Linked DNA regions of Drosophila melanogaster. Changing the gene in region 1 together with any one later gene gives a genetic interaction. Each region holds a gene or a part of one and is shown on either strand. Other genes may lie near its edges. The genes, in order: Hem, dock and Abp1.

What was found.
Region 2: of Hem (region 1) and dock, changing one enhances a phenotype caused by changing the other (phenotypic enhancement), as found in Drosophila melanogaster (one study listed by BioGRID).
Region 3: of Hem (region 1) and Abp1, changing one enhances a phenotype caused by changing the other (phenotypic enhancement), as found in Drosophila melanogaster (one study listed by BioGRID).

What each region holds. Positions count from the first base shown.
Region 1 is NT_037436.4:22,283,733-22,290,408, forward strand, and holds Hem (HEM-protein), read right to left. Parts: upstream 4,464-6,676; 5' UTR 4,256-4,463; coding exon 3,076-4,255; intron 3,011-3,075; coding exon 810-3,010; 3' UTR 622-809; downstream 1-621. Other genes in the region: IleRS (Isoleucyl-tRNA synthetase), read left to right, coding at 5,065-5,207, 5,272-6,523, 6,581-6,676. UniProt on the Drosophila melanogaster protein: Plays a role during growth of the oocyte.
Region 2 is NT_033779.5:824,201-832,098, forward strand, and holds the start of dock (dreadlocks), read left to right. Parts: upstream 1-1,768; 5' UTR 1,769-2,307; intron 2,308-5,104; exon of another isoform or gene 5,105-5,256; 5' UTR 5,257-5,335; coding exon 5,336-5,771; intron 5,772-5,944; coding exon 5,945-6,149; intron 6,150-6,537; coding exon 6,538-6,883; intron 6,884-6,976; coding exon 6,977-7,426; intron 7,427-7,513; coding exon 7,514-7,723; 3' UTR 7,724-7,898. Other genes in the region: CG3862 (uncharacterized protein), read right to left, coding at 233-1,597. UniProt on the Drosophila melanogaster protein: Adapter protein that links cell surface receptor tyrosine phosphorylation to downstream signaling pathways and effectors, many of which are involved in regulation of the actin cytoskeleton.
Region 3 is NT_037436.4:13,482,822-13,488,299, reverse strand, and holds Abp1 (actin binding protein 1), read left to right. Parts: upstream 1-2,019; 5' UTR 2,020-2,442; coding exon 2,443-2,697; intron 2,698-2,759; coding exon 2,760-3,211; intron 3,212-3,272; coding exon 3,273-3,449; intron 3,450-3,511; coding exon 3,512-3,990; intron 3,991-4,053; coding exon 4,054-4,286; 3' UTR 4,287-4,767; downstream 4,768-5,478.

The DNA.
Region 1 (6,676 bases):
AACGAAACCCCATTGTAGATATCGAGAATGTTCACAAATACAGATGTAAACTCAAATATTGACAGCTTTTTAGCAGAGTGTAGTGATTTTGGTACATTTAACCGAACCCATTTGTAGATGTTTAGGCCTATGTTGATTACGAGCAGATTTGAAAAGATGCCCTACTTACCCGATTTCGGTTTGCAAAACTTATCATTTAACCATCCGTGAAAAAGAACCTATCCCAGATCATGTAATTCAAAAAGAATTAAAAACAATAATAAATCATTGCATAAAAGTCTTTGTATCGGAATTGAAAACTCAAAATCGAAATTTAAATACTACCAATGATAACTACTGAGAAATCATATTACAAAATAACGAAAACATATTTTACTACTTGCCTACAAGTATTTGTACACAAGCCTACAAAGTAACATTGAACGTGACCAAATAATTTAATATTGCGGAAGATTTTTCCCCCAAACTCATATTTAATATACACACACGTGTGCGCATGTGTCCAAATGAAATTTAACAGAAATTGAAGCGGAGGAGCTGCACGTTCGCGGGAGTGGACACATATTTCAATAAGCCGAAATAAAGAATATACATACCGATCCGATCTAGAGACAGCTTATTAATGTGGGATACTTATTTGGGTTGTATAAGCACTTTATTCGAAGTCGTACGAGTATAAAAATGCAGAGTCTAGAATACATTTGGGTATGTTTAACAGTTTTAAAGTATGTTAGATTAGCATAGTGATCGATAGTCGATCGGCGGATAAACTACATAAGCATTATGTGGAATACACAGATCGGCTCCATTTAGAGTGCCAGCCCTAAGATCTGTTCCTGCTTGTATACGCCATGGTACGCGTTGCGTATAAGCACGTAGGGAAAGCAGGACTCAAGCAGATCCATTGTGAGGAAGGGCGATTGTTTGACGATTTCGTCCAGCAGCAAATAGATGGACTCTCGGTTCCGTGTCGCCTCTTTGTCGGACTCCTGGCCCAAGCGCAGTAGGGAAGAACTGGCCAGAGCAAGGAACTCTTTCATGCGGTCCTCCATGTCACTTTGACCGCAGATGGTAAACAGGGCTCCGAAGATGTTATTAATGGCCGCCGCCATGCAGTGCGTGTTATTTGAGTGGCCATCAATTGTGGCTCTGTAGAAGGAATTTTCGTTACGGGCCAGTTTTGGTATAGACACTGCCACAAAGACCATCAGTAGACAGGCAGTGAGGTGCTCACCCTCATCGAATTCTGGCTTTTTTGATTTCAGTGTAGTTGCTAATGTGGGGTCTACCTTGCATAGCAGACCCGCTGCTGAGGCCATCTCGGAAGCAACCCTAATTTGGTCGCCTCCGGGCAAATGTTCCTGAAAGTCCTTCACTGAGCTAAGCAGGAAGGGTATGCGCTTGTCCAGCACATCAACGAGGGCTTCATGCACCAGGTTGCGGAAACATATGATCACACCAATGATCGTCATGCGTTGCAGCACGCGGTCCACGTCCTGTAAGCGCTTAAATTGCTCCTTCATCACTTCAGGTTTGTCAAAACTGGTTCGCAGTGTAATGAGCACTTCCTTGTTGGTGCTCACCAGCGACTTCAACTCTTGCACCTGGTTTGCTATGTGCCACATAAGTGTTTCGTTCAATGTTTTGATACCGTAAGGTCCCACAAGTTCTGCAAGTGCTCGCAGCTCGTTGAGATCAGAGAATTCCTGCGGGTTAAATGGTACCCAGCCCTCGGGCGAAATGGGAACAAAAGCCTTTTGGTTAATGGAGAACACAATGTTGCCAGCGGAGACACGCCTTAGCAGAACCTCACTGTACCAGGTGTTGTACAAAGCGGCAATGGTTTTCTCGCCATGAGAGTCTAAAGCCTGTGTTTGCTGCAACAGGCAGTTGTTGAAAACTCGTGTTATGTCTATGTGCACGTAGTTCTCTACTGTCTGCAGCACGTTCATGTAGGCTCGAACGCTGGCCAGCAGCTCCGAGGGCTTGGCTATCTCCATTGTCTCCTGGTTGAACATCACCATGCCAACAAGATCCCGGGAAAAGCGGTGTTCCAGGTTCTGACAGAGATACTCGCGAGGGGCAAAAGCAAACTCCCAAACGTTGACCGTGGGGCAATAATTGATTGCAAAACAAAGCTCCGTCAGGGCCATGTGCAACTTGTCCATCGTCGTCAGATCCTCTCGTGTCTTTCGGTACGACTCGTCTCCCGGCTTTCGTATGTCGTCAAAATGCTTAGACTTCGATTTGTCCTTCTTCTTACGAGCAGATTGTACGGAAAGAATCTTAGCACAGTGTTTTGGCAATAGAGCGTCTGCCATTGTGCACTGCTCATCGCAAATTGTGGTTATAATGTTTTTAGCCTCCTTAGCCATTTCCTCAAGAAATATATTTACCACGCTGAGAGACCTTTCACGTATATGGTGTCGCTCCTCCGGGCACATTTCGTGCGTACAATTTTGGAAGTGGCTGCAGATTAAGGGAAACGCTATGATGTAGCGGTTCTGCGCGGGAAACTCCAAGCACATGTGGAATTGGTCGTCAAACATTTTGTTATAGAAACAGAAGATACTGAGATCCGAGGTTTCTACTAGTATTTCGTCCAAGTTATCTACCACCCTAGTGTGGAAAACCATTGAATCCAGTAGGCGGGCCAGCTCTGCATGCTCTGCGATCCTAAGTGCAGCCTTTCCCACACTCATGTACGTTTGGAGGCGGAACCAGTCCAGGCGGAATGGTCGGAAATAAAAGAGTTCGTTGTCTTCCACCTGCTTAACTGTCAGGGCTGCAGCCGTGTTGTAGAGCGAACTGAAGATTATGCTTTCGTCTTCTGGACACATTTGCAGACTTTGCATTCGAATATTAAGATCCGTGGCATCGAATCCGGACAAGTATTGCACGTAATATCGCTGCATTACCTGGCTGTATTTACGCACAAGAGCGCGGAGTTCCTCCATGTGGAATAAGAGCTCCGGCAGCTGTCGGTCTACAAGATCTTCATTGCTCTTTCCTATAAATTTAAAATAGTTAAGGTTCACAAATTTTAATTTAATCGTAAGAAAATCCTTAACTAACCTTTATTTTTGAGAAGAGGTGGGTTGTCATTATGCCTGAGGAGCCATAGAATCTCATCGCGCGCAAGACAAAGACCGATGAAAATGAATATTGCCTTAGGTCCCAGGAGGCCTGGTTGGTCGGTCATAATAAGAGCTAGCTCCTTCAAGGCTGTTCGAAGAAACTTGCGCCGCTCCCGATGCATTAAAGCAGCTTTTTGAACCGCCGTGTTGTAGGCTTCCTTTACTTCTCCGATCCGCTTGCTGTAACCTTTAATTCCGTCGAAAGTAGCCTGAATGTATTGATGAATTTGCAGGACCTCGTCGCGGAACAAGGCCACAACCCAGCTTGACTCCAGGGCGGAGAGCCAGATTTTGTTGACTTCCGGGTACTGTCCGAGCATTTGATGGTTCAGCAGCAAGCCAAAGATTATCCAGCGGTCCATTGCCTCCAGGGATATGTACTCGCAGGACATGGTGTCAGTGCGGACGGCCTTAAGAAGAATGGCCGGATTGCCTACCAGACTCAACTTTTGCATTTCCCTCCACTTGTCTGCTGGCAGGTTTCGCAGTGCATAGATGGAGGTCAGCGACCGCAACGCACTGGTTAGCAGGCGCTGGTGGGGAATGAATTCCTCGGCCAACTTTTTTAAGGGGACCTCGTAGTCCAGAATCATCTGCCCCAAGCGGGGGAAGCCCGTGTCCGCCTGATTGTTTTGCAGCTCGTAGGCGGCATTGTACAAGCCCAGAACTGCCTTGCGGTCCTCGACCCTAGACAAAACAATCATCAAGGACACGTAGGTCACAACCAAGTCCAGATAATATTTGGTCAGCTCGAAGTTCAATGTGATGTCCAGGTGAATCTGGCAGGCGTCCATCGTGGTGAGCAGTTCGCATACATTGTCCTTGAAATCAAGTAGGTCCACGAATGTGTGGTAATACAGGGACAGCGACTTAATAATCTCCGCTTTGATGTTTACAATAGCATTGAGCCCTTTGACGTCGATGTTGGGGAACCGCTTCACGATAAACTTGATGCTCGATTCCAACGACTTCTCGGAGAGGAAGCCTGGCTTCGACTTGGTGTCGCCGCATGCTTTCTTGATGTTGTATATCCGCGTAAGAATGCCCAGGCCGCGGTCATTCAAGATGATTAGTTTCTCAGCTATCTTCTGCTGGTTCGGAAAAATTGGGCGTGCCATATCCGATGACTGTTGGCGACGTCGAATGGCTGAAGGCGAGTTTCCGGTGGAGCCCAGAACACAGGTGTGCGCTGGCGAGACGTATTGGGAGGCGTGCAAGTGCTGATTTGCCCAGTACTTATACTTTTTCGTTTGTTAAATTGGCCGAAAAGGAGCGACACAAAAGTGTACACATTACTCTTCCTCTTGTTTTCGCGTTAGTGATGACCAATGGGCTGATAGCAAAGATATATTGCTATCGATAACGATAGCTACCATATATATGCTAAACTATTGATTGTTAAAAAGAAAATATACTGCTGAGAAAAAAAACATATGGCTTAATATAATTTAAGATAATTTTTTTATAATTATATATTACAGTAATTTGGTTATACTACAAATTAATAATAGCTGGTATTTGGGGTTTTAATTTATTAGAATTATTTGTCTAAGTCAGGAATAATTGCTTTCAAAACTATTGCATAGTTTATTCATTCAATTGCCAATGGCTTTCTTACTTAGTAACTTACAGTTCAGTTTTTTATTCTTATGGCTAACAAATTTATTAAAGTTGTTAATAGTAAATAAGCCTTTCTTTTTTTTTCAGTGCTGTCGTCAGCTGATTATCAAGGATGCCGCTCATCGGAACCTACTATCGATATCGCGAACCCATGAGCTAGAGAGCGATTAATGAACCACTAGTTCCGTACCTCGGGCACGTTGTGTGCCACGCAAAAACGCCGCAAGTCAGTTGAATTTCTGATATAAAAGGTGGGCGAATAAGCTCTGTTACTTGATAAATAATACAACAGTGAACTTTGACAGCCATGGGAAAAAAACTAGAGCGGAACGACGTGTGTCGGGTGCCAGAGAACATTAATTTCCCGGCCGAGGAGGAGAACGTACTGCAGAAATGGCGACACGAAAATATCTTTGAAAAGTGCAGCCAGCTGTCGAAGGGAAAGCCCAAGTAAGTGCCGCATACGATTGCATCAGCCGATCGCCAAATTTTGTGCTAATTTTCCACCTCCAAGATACACGTTCTACGATGGACCGCCCTTTGCAACCGGGCTGCCCCACTACGGACACATTCTTGCTGGCACCATCAAGGACATCGTCACACGGTACGCATACCAGCAGGGATACCATGTGGACCGTCGCTTCGGCTGGGATTGCCACGGACTGCCCGTGGAGTTCGAGATTGACAAGCTGCTGAATATCAAGGGTCCTGAGGACGTGGCCAAGATGGGAATCGCAGCCTACAATGCCGAGTGCCGGAAGATTGTCATGCGTTACGCAGATGAGTGGGAGAATGTGGTGACGCGCGTGGGTCGCTGGATTGACTTCAAGAACGATTACAAGACGTTGTACCCATGGTACATGGAGTCCATTTGGTGGATCTTCAAGCAACTGTTCGACAAGGGTCTGGTCTACCAGGGCGTTAAGGTGATGCCCTATTCCACCGCCTGCACAACGTCCCTTTCGAACTTCGAGGCCAACCAAAACTACAAGGAGGTTGTGGACCCTTGCGTAGTAGTTGCACTGGAGGCCGTTTCGTTGCCCAATACCTTCTTCCTAGTGTGGACCACCACGCCATGGACACTGCCCTCAAACTTCGCATGCTGTGTTCATCCGACGATGACCTATGTAAAAGTGCGCGACGTAAAGAGCGACCGACTTTTTGTTCTCGCAGAGTCTCGTCTCTCTTACGTGTACAAATCGGAGACGGAGTACGAAGTGAAGGAAAAGTTTGTTGGCAAAACCCTTAAGGACCTTCACTACAAGCCGCTTTTCCCTTACTTTGCGAAGCGAGGAGCTGAGGTGAAAGCTTATCGTGTCCTGGTCGACGAGTACGTGACTGAGGATTCCGGTACGGGTATTGTGCACAATGCTCCCTACTTCGGAGAAGACGATTATCGTGTGTGCCTCGCTGCGGGCCTCATCACAAAGTCCAGTGAGGTTCTCTGCCCAGTGGACGAGGCAGGACGGTTTACTAACGAGGCAAGCGATTTCGAGGGCCAATACGTCAAAGATTCTGATAAGCAAATAATGGCCGCGCTGAAGGCACGAGGAAACTTGGTTTCCAGTGGCCAGGTGAAGCATAGCTACCCATTCTGCTGGCGGTCAGACACGCCTCTTATCTATAAGGCGGTTCCTTCCTGGTTTGTGCGCGTCGAGCACATGTCTAAAAACCTGCTTGATTGCAGTTCCCAAACGTACTGGGTGCCGGACTTCGTCAAGGAGAAACGTTTTGGAAACTGGCTGAAAGAGGCCAGAGATTGGGCTGTAAGTTTTGTAAAGGAAACTTTTTTGTTATGTTTTTAAATCAAATTATATATCTAGATCTCCCGCAATCGCTACTGGGGCACGCCGATTCCTATCTGGAGGTCGCCTAGCGGTGATGAGACCGTCGTTATCGGCAGTATCAAGCAGTTAGCC
Region 2 (7,898 bases), on another chromosome or scaffold:
GAACGAAGCTATTTACAGCAAAAACAACCTGAGGGCGGAAAACATGGCAACTATCAGCATGCGTAAGAGAAACAAGTAAATTAATCTAAATGTTCTTTAAACTACTTACATGTATTAAACGCGAATTTGTGATCTTTAGCAGTGTGATCTTTATTGGTTGGGCTGCCACTGGCAATAGTATTTTCGACTAGAGTATACTTTAAGTTAACTAATCTAAAACAAACAGCTTAATCTAGAAGAACGGCTTGCACAAGGCAATGGTGTGATCCACTCCGTAGGCCACTTTGGTGACCTTTCCGTTGATGGCCGCCTTAAAGGGAAAGAACTGGTCCTTCTTGTGTCCCAGCCCCAGATGCCCGAACCTGTTCTTGCCCCACATGAAGAGATCTCCGTCCGAGTTGACGGCGCCCATGTGAAACACTCCGCATCCGATGGAAACCACTGTGGTTTCGTTGCTGAAGTCATTTCGTCCGAATAAAGGCGGCAACAGATGCTGCGGCTTGGATGTTTGCTCCACGAAGGGTCCGAAGCCGAGGATGCCAAAGCCCCAGGTGTACACCAGACCCTGGTCGTTGAGGGCCATGCAAAATGAGCCTCCCGCAGCCACATCCTTGATTTTCCCGATGGACTTCGTTAGTTTGAGAGCTCTAGGGATATTTATTTGGGTTTCGGCCAGCTCTGAGTCATCTAGCTGTCCGTACTCAGAATTGCCCCAGCCAAAGGCATCGCCCGCCTCGTTAAGGGCCAAAACGCAGTCCGAGGAGCAGCTGAGCCGCACAATCTTCTCCTTTTCCACATCTCCTCCAATCAGGGTTATCTGCCCGGCGGTGTGGTAGTTTCCCTGACCTGTTTGACCATCCGCACCCCAGCCACATGTGTAAATGCGTCCCTTTTTGGTAAGAAACATGCTGTGGTCCTGGCCGCACTCCACCTGGACCACCTCATCCTCCTTGCCGCATATATCTTCCTGCGATATCCTGTGGATCAGGGCACTCTTGCTGTACCGCTCCTCCTCTATGATGGAGCGGCCACATTGGCCGTACGAATTGTTTCCCAGGGTGAAAATGGTTCCGTTTTGGGTCAGAACCACCAGGTGAGCTCTACCCGCCGACATGCTCTTCACACGCATGTCCTCGTCTGTTTCTCCCTGAACTCTCGGCAGTTTAATGGCTGTAGGATAAATGATCACGTCAAGGTTGGCCGGATCATTGGGATTTCCCTTCACCTGGAAACCCAGTTGGGAGTCGGTGTTCAAACCGCTGCCAAAGAGCGTCTCTCCGTCATCTCTATTCACGGCGTAGACCGTGAACCCGTAGCCGGCGGCCACATCCGTGATTTCGTTGTTGTTGGAGAACTGCAAGCGGGTGGGATGGTGCACCATCTCCGTGTAGCGTTCCTTGGCCTTCTTCACGTTGGTCTGGAGACCGAGAGCGCCGGTTTCCTGAAAGCCCCACACGTAAACTCGGTGCTCATGGCTGTCCGTCGTCTTCGGTGAGTACTCCTTGATCTTCGACTTGTCCTGCGCCAGCACACCCCTCTTCGCCTTGGCGGTGTACGACCTGCTGATGCCAAGCACAATACCCCGAGTTTTCAGCATGGTATTTCGGGTTAAACCAACCATGTAATCCAAAATCATAACAAAAACGCCACCCGATATCGATAGACCCGATGACCGGACAAGTGCTGCACAGCGCGCAACGTGCTTATCGATAGTTCGCTAAGAAAAACCGCTGATACGCCACCTGACAGCCCTGGTCGTGGTCAATCGCTATCGCCTTCCGCACATCGAAATCGGATGGGCGACGTGAAAGAAACGGCTCCGGCAAAATCATTAAAATTTAATTAGTTAACCGCAAGAGAGCGCTGCAAAATTGTGCAAACAATTTGCCACTTAACGCAGTTAACGTGTGCGGTAATCAGAAGCGTGGAAAAGCGTTTATTTGTCAGGATTTGTGTGTTTTTCAATCGCGGCAGCAGCATATGTACACACACACAGGCTCACCCCCGCCCCACTCACACACACACACTCACGCCTAGGTGTATTATAATTAAAGTTGTGTTTTAAGTGTGTGTAAAGTGCAATAGCCCAGTGGAAAGTGGAAGTGATATAGAGTGCGTTCCAGGAGTTCCAGGAGCAGTGTCTTATCCCATGTCTTCCACTCCCAAATCCTGAGGATTGCCAAGGGTTAAGACCGAGAAATACGGACTCCGACTTTCCGGATAAGGATACGGATACGGATAAGGAGTGCCAGGATAAGGAGATCCAGGAGGAATATAGGAGTTGCCAGTCCAACCGCTTCGTCTCCGGTAGGTACACACAAAATATTCGGCTGCTCCTTTTTAGCTCCTGTTCGAATCTCTCACGGCTCTCTCTCTCGGCTCTCTCTCTCTCTCTCTTGACCTGCGCTCTCTCTCTTTATCTCGCCCTCGTCACCTGGTGGTGCGTAGTCCTTTGGCTCGGTCCACCACCCGCCCAGTGGGCGGTGCTGCAACCCTTAGCCCTCCGCTTTCCATCACCTTTTTTTGGGTAACCATGGTCGTGTTTACGGCAAACTGTGCCACCGATATATATGTGTGTACATATGTACCCTTTCCCTTGTCTAGATAGATGAAACAGATAAATCGTGAAGATGCTTCACTTACCATAAATCTATAATATGTTCATTGCTCAAATACTACTATAGTAGGTACTTGTGTTTTTCAAAAGCCTGTGCCAGGTACAAAAGCTTGTACTCTTAACAACACTGGGAACGAGTCCTGCCATCCTTTGCAGGACGAGAAGTCCACCCTCTCGCTGCCAAAAAGCCACCACCTCGCAGAGATTTTGCGCAGCATCTCTAAACGAAACGGCCGGCAAATGTCGCAAACTCCCTCGGCAACAAAAGCCAAAAAAAAAATACAAAATACAAAAAACAAAACCGAAACCGAAACCCCATTCGAATCCCATTCCCCAGCAAAAGCATCTACTTAATCAACCCGGGCGGGAGTGGACTCCCAGCTCCCTGAATGAGTGATCTTATGTAAACAGGCTGCCCTTTGCCTCCCACGCCCCGAGATCCAGATAAGAGTGCCCCACTTTCAGTTCCTCCATGGCTGCCCCATCCATCCACCGAAGTCGTAACTCAATGTTATAGACCCAAATGCTCCCGTTTCGGGGCCACCAATTCGTTCGTGATGGCTTTTCTTGGGGACCAATGACTATACTCCCTCGTCTGGAACCGATCTTCAACCAATACACAGACACAGCACGGGGAAACAAACTTTCCGCCTCATAAACTTGTGGGCTTGTCCCCCAAGCACGTGCAACTCTTTCTTTCTCTCAGCGAAAAGACGAACTGCTGTCAGGAAAACAATGAACGAGTGCACCGGAAAAAAACATAAATGTTTGTCATACGGGAAGCTAAGAAATCATACCACAAAGAATTCTTTAAAAATATATATTCATTTATTGCAGTAGCAGTAGGGAATCTTATCAAATCATAGTTCATAATATATTTTTTGACAATTTCTCCGCGCTAACGAACTTATCAGCAAGTTCCTTCCGATTTCTTCGGATTTTATCAGCAGTGTAATGTCAATGTCTCGGCTGTTGGGCTTATGCAAGCGCAAACAATAACAAAACAATCACCAAGCCAAAGAAATCCAAACACCGATCCGAATCCAACGGTGGTGCATTTCAGTTCATTGGCAGCCAGCCAGCCAGCCAGGCGTTTCATGTTTACCAAGTCCCCAAGCGAACCGAACTGAACCGCCCCCTTATCACTCCAGCATTTGCATAAATATAATCTTTTTCGGGTTCTTTCTCCGTTTCTATCTGGGTTCGGTTACGGTTTCACTCCCGCTTTCTCCTCTCAAAAAATAGGGAAAACACACAGACAATTCGCACAACAGTGAATCACTTTGCGACCAATGCTTCGGTTAAACAGGTACTTCTCCGTATCTCTAGCTAACGCAAAAACCTTTGACTAATCGATGGTAAAGTAAACAAAAACACTCGTTATCACATGGAGATTATTATGGCCAAAATTCGAACAGGAAGCACGATTAGAAGTTTACCGGCAAAACAAATTTATGCATTGCCTGCATTTCTTATTATATACGTATGGGTCAGTTGCTAATAGATATTGCACCGAAATGCCAGAATTGAATGGCATTAGAGCTCTCGAAAACACTTTCAGCTGACTCAGCCTCTCGTGTATGACCTAACAGTCATTGAAAAGCGAAACCAAGATTGGCCTAGAGTCAAAGACCGAGTAGAGCGTTTTCTCAACGTGGCCCACACTTATTGATTTTTAATTATCCAAAGATGGCCCTCGGCTATGACATTGACTTTGATTTTGTTGGCTCGCCAACCTGGCCAACGAACTCGGGAAGCCTCTCTAGAGATCTCTGGCCGAAATAACCTTCTGTGCCGCCCGCTAACTGCCTTATGTCACTCGGTAAATCTCGGTTAAGAAACCAATTTCCCAATACCCCCGACCATTCACGTTCGTGACTCATTGCGGTCGAATGTCTCAGTTGATTTCTGTGTCTTTCTTGGCCTGAAATGGCCCGGATTTTGAGTCTCTGGTTCTCCAGCCTCGGTGAGGCTGCCCCGTTGAACAAATCAATACCCGATGGCCACTTATTCGCTCGCCTGGCAATTGGATTCAATTGAGTGGAGTCAGTCGGAGGCAACTTTCACTTGCACAGATTTTAATTGCCCCACAACTGGAATGGCCAGATCCCTCAGCCCCCATATCCATCTCCCGCTCATATTATCATCATCATGATCATCACAACACAAACACTTCACTCATTCATCTTCATCGCCGGCTCGCTGACCCCAAAAACAAACATTCATCTCTCGGCTAATTTTGAGTTGATTTCCTATTTGGTATTTCGAGTTTGAGTACTTGCATTGTATTTTTTAAGCTAATCATTTTTACGCTCTTTAGCTTCTTCAGTGCGAAACAATTAAGCCTAATTTGCATATATCATTTGCTCTCTTTTTCTTTCTTTCTTCGTTCGTTGCTTATGTTATTGCGTTGCTTATGTTTACTTTGCCACGCCTACGCTTCCGCCCACGCTCACGCCCATTCGCCCCCTGAAACCACGCCCACAGCAATTATGCATTGGCTAGAGGCGATTTGCAGCAAGCTTAGAGTGCCAGCGAGCAACTGCAACACATAACCAAACCATCAAAGACTTGTTGTTCATCAACTCCAACCCCAACTCCAAGTCCACCAACACTGAGCCACCGCCTCTTGCCTCCAGGAGCATCACCAGGAGCATCAGGGCAGTCCCAGCTGGAGGAGCAGGAATCCCCCCGCGGCGGAGGAGCAGCCAGTCTGGAATGTTGGAACACCCCCAGCGGTTTGTGCGCAACATCCCCGACTCCTCAGCCAGTTCGCAGCAGTATCCGCAGCAGCAGCAGCATCCGCCACAGCTGCCGCAGCACCAGAATCTGAATCTCAACCAGAATCAGAACCTGAACCAGAATCAGATCTACCAGTACCGTCCCCAGGTGCCCGTGCCCGTTCCCGGCTCACCTGCCCATCACCAGCGGCACTCTTCGCTCTCCCAGCAACAGCAGTTGCACCACCACCGCACCCTGTCCACCGCCTCCTCCTGCAGCGCCCAGCACAAAAGTGTGACCTTCGGCCAGCCAGCGCTCGACTGCGGCGGCAACGGCAGCGGAAGCGCCAACGGAAGCGGTAGCGGCAACTCCTCCAGTGGCAGTGCCGCCGGCAACGCTGGAACCCAATCAATGGCGGGCAACATGAAGCACGGTGAGCAACTGCAACACAATAACCTCACAGCGAGAAGAGCATTGGGTGTAGTAAAAGGATCTAGGATTTGTATGCTAATGAATTTGTGGTTCTATCATACTGGCCCATTTTGCTTTTCTAACTGTGTGTGCACTTGGTACTCTTCTAACCTGTTCCTGTTAATCACTCCGCAGGCAAATCTCAGGACGACGTCTGCTACGTGGTAGCCAAGTACGACTATGCGGCGCAGGGTGCCCAGGAGCTGGATCTGCGCAAGAACGAGCGCTACCTGCTGCTGGACGACTCCAAGCACTGGTGGCGCGTCCAGAACAGTCGCAACCAGTCCGGCTACGTGCCAAGCAACTATGTGAAGAAGGAGAAGCCCTCGCTCTTCGACAGGTGCGTCAGATTCCTGGCCCGACTAAACCTAAGCGTTCTTCTTGCTCTGATTTCAGCAGAATTAAGCCCTCTATACCTGTATCTGTATCCGTATCCGTAGATGTATCTGTATCTCTATCGCGTTCAAATACCCGCCTCCACCTTTTGCTTTGGCTATCGTAATTTAACTTATAACTGCTTTCGGCTTTTGTATTTTGTATTTCAAAACAACAAATTCGTTTTGATTTCGTTGTCTGTCGAGCCCCACTTGCCCCTAAAAACTAAAGATCCACTAACACCCAAACCAACTAGGGCTAGTCTAACCCACTTTAAACCGCCAATGAAATCTAACCATAAAACTTCATCCCAATACTGATCGTGAATATTTTGATTTACGATTTCTGTGCAGCATTAAGAAGAAGGTGAAAAAGGGCTCCGGATCGAAGACACTGCCTAATTGTTCGCCTTCGCGACAGGTCGAGAGTCCAACCATGTCGCGCCGACTTCCCCCAGATCCCGCAGAGGCCATCGGAACGGCTGTGGTCAAGTATAACTATCAGGCCCAGCAGCCCGATGAACTTTCGCTGACCAAGGGCACACGAATCCTCATCCTGGAGAAGTCCAACGATGGATGGTGGCGTGGACAGAGCGGCAATTCCGTCGGCTGGTTCCCCAGCAACTACACAACGGAGGATTGTGATAACGACGGCGAGATCCACACCTACGCAATGGCCGAGAACGTGCTTGATATTGTGGTGAGTAACTGGACGTGTTCTCAAAATAAACATTCACATCATCTATGAGAGGTTGTCATTATTGGCTAATAACAACTATTTTCAAATATATAGGTCGCGCTGTACAGCTTCACGTCAAACAACGACCAGGAGCTCTCGTTCGAGAAGGGCGATCGCTTGGAGATCGTGGATCGGCCCGCCTCCGATCCGGACTGGTACAAAGCTCGCAACAATCAGGGCCAAGTCGGTTTAGTTCCACGCAATTATCTCCAAGAGTTGAACGACTACCTGGCCACGCCCTATCGTAATGCGAGTGCCAGTGCAGGAAACGGAAATGGAGGAGGAAGTAATGGCGGCGCAGGTGGTGGCGGAGGAAACGACTCCATGGAGCGGCGCAATGAGGGTAATAAGCCGGCGGCGCAATCTTCCGGCCAGCCAATCGAGCGGCCAAATCTGGCGGGCAAGTCGTGGTATTATGGAGCCATCACCCGCAGCCAGTGCGACACGGTGCTCAACGGCCACGGGCACGATGGCGACTTCCTCATCAGAGACAGTGAGACTAACGTAAGTGGAATTCGCAATTGAAGTGCCATAACATAGTTCCGCCCGAATTCTTTGAGAGTGTATAAACGAATTCATCCTTTCTTGCAGATGGGAGACTATTCGGTTTCGTTAAAGGCCCCAGGGCGCAACAAGCACTTCCGCGTGCACGTGGAGCAGAACATGTACTGCATTGGGCAGAGGAAGTTCCACTCGCTGGACCAACTGGTCGATCACTACCAAAGAGCGCCCATCTACACGAATAAGCAGGGCGAAAAGCTGTATCTGGTGCGATCGCTGCCGAAGGCCAATGGCACGTAAGCAGGTCCAGGACTGGAGCAGAGAAATCTCAGCATTCATATTACCCGTATTCAACAACACACATATGCAACACAAAGATATACCAAGGCTAACTTGTAGGCAGCTCAGCTCAGCGCGACGTGTAGTTCAATATAGTTCGGTTTGGATATTTAATTATGGACTCAGTTTTGGATTA
Region 3 (5,478 bases), 8.8 Mb from region 1:
GTATGTGAATAATAATCAGATTACATTTGGGAATTCATTAACTAGGCATGAAATCGTTTGCAAAACGTTTTGTTACATTTTGTTTCTTTATATAATGTGACTTTGATAGTCTAGAATATAATGATGTTTTTATGTAAGCAAAAATCTTGACATCTATTAAGACTTATCAGTTTAGCAGACTTGTAGAGTTTTCCAAGTTCATTCACATTAAATCCATTCAGAAATTATTTTAAATTTGTAAAGAGCTACTACTAATTTGAATCACTGCTTTACATTCCCATGAATGTTTTAGACGCAAGATGTTCATATTACTGGGCATTTCTTTCTGTGTCTGACACATTGTTGAAATACTTTCCGAGTCTTCTTGGCTCAAAGGTGAAAGCCATAAAAGAGCTGTGTATAACCCCCACCCCCACTGCCCCGTTTGGGTTGAGTACATCAGGGCATGTTGTTGGCCAAGTTGAAATCATAAAAATTGTCGACTCTTTTTAAACGGAATTGGTTAATGGCTCCAGTTGGTGTTTTTTTGTTGGTCTGTAAGTCTGGGTCGGATCGGTTTGTTCACTTACCGCTGGGATTGTTTTGCACCATGGTCGCCGCTCTAGAGAGTACATCCAGCGCCGTTTCCATGATGATCTCAACGCTTCTACGTGGGATTGGACGTGGATTTGGAGTTGGACTTGGACTTGGTTTCGCTGCTCCTGCACCGACTCGATCTGCACCGCATGAGTTTCACACTGAAAATGCAAAGAAATTGACCATGAACAGCCGCACCACACACACTTAAGCCGCACACACATCTCTCTCGTATGTGTGCCTTACAATATATACACCGAGATATCCAAGTGAAAAACTGGATATATCGCCCGAGCCTGGCATTGGCATATATGTAAATGGAACAAAACCAAAACCAAAGCCAAAACCAAACCAAAGCGAACAAAGACTGACTGCCTGACTGGCTGACTTGAAACAAGTAAGACGAAGGCGAAATCCTGCTGCCAAACAGTTGCCATCTGATCGGAAAGCTGTGGAAGTGGATGCTGATGAGGGGACATGCACGGTGGCGGGGCGGTGAGGGGCCACGATGCACTTGGGACTGGTTTTTTTCGGAGGCCCCAAGACCAAGAGTTCGGGGGCTGCTCCGTTGAATATTTCGGCAATGACCAAAGTACAGCAGCCAGAGCCATATTGTTGCTAGCCAGTCAGCCAACCATACAGCCAGCCAGCATCCGACGTCTAGTTTCCACATTAATATACGTAAATATCAGGCCACAACAGTGGAGCCACTTTACCTTTCGCCAGGTGTGCGCCTTCAAATCCTCGCTGGAATCCTGCTCCTCAGCTGTACGGCGATTTATCCTCGCTAATTTTCACCGACTTTTCACGATTTGCGCTGGGAAAAGCGGGGGTTCGATGATTTTTGGTATAATTGCAATAATAGTTCAGTTCGCGTTAGAGCTGGAAGATACGTCGATGTAACATCGATGGCCAAAGTCATCAGTCTGTATTCACATCGATATTTGCTCAGCCTTACCAACACTAATATTGTTCAGCGGTGACTTAAGCCCACATATAACATTAGCGTTGACTCGAACCATTTTTAGAAAACTTAATGTACAAACAATGTAAACATACCTAACAACCTAAAACATATTATTTGTCAATAGTATTTGCAAAGTATATTATAAGCAAATATAAAGGTTATGATATGAATAAACACCATATACCAGTTTTTTCCATTGGATAGAGATACAAAAAAGTTGAATAAAATATAAAAACGAAAAATGTTCGTATGTGTGATTATTAAAAAAGAAGATAATGCTTATATATATAGTTGAAACTTTACGACTAACACCTATAAGAAAAACGATAAAGTAAATCAAAGCCTATTAGACGAGGTACACGTTACTAGATACGTTCTAAAACCTCTGTTATTTAATTTCAATTTTACAAGTAAAAACCATCGATAGCGGCACAGTGGCAACATTGAAAGTATCGATTAGACATCGCCTGTTGTCCCAGCTCTAGTTTGTTGTTGCAAAAAAAGTGTGTGGGTCGCCGCCAGCGATCGAATATTTTAAAATTCCAATCAAATTGGTTAATTGGGGAGTTGCAATTGCTTGAGCGTTAAGTTAAACCTATTTCTGCACGCATAACTCGAAGGATTAAGGTGGAAAAGTGGAATTTGGAAAGCCGCTGGAAATTCGCACATACTGGAAAATCAATCACCCACTATCCCATTGTTCTGCTTGTGTTTGTGTACGTCTGTGTGCCTTTGTGAGGCGGCTGCACTTAATTAAAATTTAAGACAAGACAACCCAAGCAAATTTGGAGTCTTCGCGAGGCGTTGGCTTTCACTTGACGAAGAGGGCACCCCGATAAGGCGACCCAGTGAAAGCTGGCCAAGATCTCGCTGCTCAAGGTCGTTGTCAGTCTGGAATTATGGCCGTCAGCTTCGAGAAGAATCGGGCGCAAATAGTGGCCGCCTGGAAGGATGTGCTGGACGATAAGAGCGACACGAACTGGTCCCTCTTTGGCTACGAGGGTCAGACCAACGAGCTGAAGGTGGTGGCCACCGGCGATGGCGGCGTGGATGAGCTAAACGAAGACCTAAATAGCGGCAAGATTATGTACGCCTTCGTCCGAATCGAAGACCCCAAAACGGGCCTCAACAAGTACTTGCTCATCAACTGGCAGGTGAGTCCGACGGCGCCCTTATCTAATCGAGCTACGCATAATCTGACTGTGCTCCCATTCAGGGCGAGGGCGCACCTGTTCTACGCAAGGGTACCTGCGCCAACCACATACGTGATGTGAGTAATTTGCTGTCCGGCGCTCACCTTACCATCAATGCCCGGAACGAGGACGATATTGACTTGGATCGGCTTCTCAAGAAGCTGAGCACCGTGAGCTCAGCCTACAGCTTTAAGGAACCTCGAGGCGCCATGGAGGAGCAGAAGGCGCCGGTGGGAACCAACTATACTCGGGTCATTCCCACCAAGGAGTTAAACGCCAGCGTTATGCAGGACTTCTGGAAAAAGGAGGAGGCCGAGGAGAAATTGCGACAGGAGGCAGAGAAGGAATCCAAGCGGCTTGAGCTTCAAAAGTTGGAGCAGGAGCAACGTAGTCGCGAGGAGAAGGAGCACAAGGAGCGGGAGAAGTTGGTCATAAGCACCACCAAGCTCCAGCCGGCCCACGTACCCATCAAAACGTAAACAAAAACATCGGAATTTGACCTTCTCGGTAGTAAAAATTCTTTTTTTATCAAACAGGTCACCGCAACCTTTGAGCCCTGAGAAAACTGCACCAGGATTTGCCAACAATCTGACCGATGCGGAGCGCATGCGTCAGGCGAGGAACCAGGAGGCCCGCGAATTGATTGGCTCTCGTGTGGGTGCTGCCAAGGCCATGTTTACAAAGCACACGAGCGAGGGACAACTTCAGTCTAAGTGCGTCCTTGCCCCTCTCCTATTTTGTTGTATCAGAAATAAACTGCTCTTTTGATTCATAGACTAAATACGCAACCGCCGGCCAAACCAGCTCGCAACTCGATTGCCCAGCGCATCAACGTTTTCAACCAAAACCAGCCTCAAGATGCACCTGTGCCTTCACCACCACGCGCTGCGTCCCCTGCCAAACCGTTGCCTGTAGAGGCTCCCGAACCAGTAGTCCCCGCTCCAGCTATAGCTCCTGCTGCTCCCGTGGCTGCCGAGGTTGTTTCCACAATAGCGGAGGTGGAGGAGTCGCAACCGGTAGACGATTTGCCACTGGCCCATGAGAGCGAACAGTTCTCGACTATCAAGCGATCACCCCATAGTAAATCGAACTCGCTGCAGTCTCAGTCGCCCGACGAGACCACCTCTTCCAATGAAACAGACACCGCTGTTTCCCAGGAACAGGAAGAGGAGGTCCGCACCAAGGTGTCAGTCACCGTGCAGCAGTCGCAATCGGTCAAGTCGAGCGGCATGAGCACACTCGAAAGGAATGCATGTACGTAAACCATAGCTATGACCCGTTGTTCGTTCTATATTTAAACACGAGTGTTTTTTGTAGTAACGGATTTGGTAAACGAGGACGATTTTATCTGCCAGGAGACCTTAGGCGATCTGGGACAACGGGCACGAGCTCTATACGATTACCAGGCAGCCGACGAGACAGAGATCACTTTCGATCCAGGCGATGTCATTACGCATATCGATCAAATCGACGAGGGATGGTGGCAGGGACTGGGCCCTGATGGAACCTATGGACTGTTTCCGGCAAACTATGTCGAGATCATCAACTAGGGAAACCCAAGTGCCAAGCAGCTGGGACGCCCTTTTGCTAAATATCTACACCAATGCAGCTAGCAACTATATTTTGGATCCGGACTATAGCTACTTAAACACTTTACCCCATAATCTTGAACAATAATGCGATACACCTAGAAGAGATTCAACGATGACTAAATGCGACTATAAGATTTTTATCGTACATCACGCGTCTGTTTTTTATCTACATACATATTATTATATAACGTATAATCCATGCCACATATGCAACCCTATCATACGTTGTTCCCATTTGTATACATATTATATCATTGTTTGGCCTCGATTGCCGAAGCCGTGTTGCGTCCTTTTAAAATGTTCTTAGGATACATACAAAGTAACCACTTAGTCAGTATTTAAGGCCCGCTCCATTCCCGATCCAGGGTTCTTTTGTATATGTATTATTGATCGAGATTTATAACCTTTTCGATAATAAACTTTGATAATTGTGCAACCGAAGGATAACACAGTTTTATGGTCAACAATATCTACATTTATTTTCGCATTAATTAGTAGCATAAATAGTTATCATAGTTTTTTTTTTTTTTCTATAAGAGTTTACGTTCGTTTAACAATTCACCTGCAGCAAAGCCGTGAGTGGTGCACTCGGCGTGATTGGATGGATGAGTTGGCCTGTGGCAAGCAAGCGCGTCTGCTGTAGATTTGTATGAGATCATACGGCGGCTTGCTGCCCCTGTTGCTGCTCATCGGTACAATTTACGTATAAAAACTGGACTCAGGTTCAAAAATATCCTCATGGTGATCATCTATCGCTTAAACATAATCAGCTCTTTTAAGTGAAGCAACCCTTGTTGCCAAATCGTTTTCGCTCTGTTAACTTCCGAATTCTATGCAGGCACATTTTCTCAATATTAATTCTCTTACTAGCCTATAATCTACGCTGTGTGGTGTGTGTGTGTGTGTGTGTGTGTTATGATGTGTGGGGATGAGTGGGTGTTGAGTGGTTGACACGTGAGATTTGCATATGTTTAGATAGTACGGTTGTGCTTCTACGAAATACTAGCAAAGATTCGTCGCCAGCTCCTCCTATTCACATTCACATTACACATCAAATTCACTTTCACATTTACTTTGAATTCAGTAAAATCAAGTCTGTCGCTGTCCGTTGATGAGTCGGGATCGGAACTCTTCTCTATCCTCCGCCTGT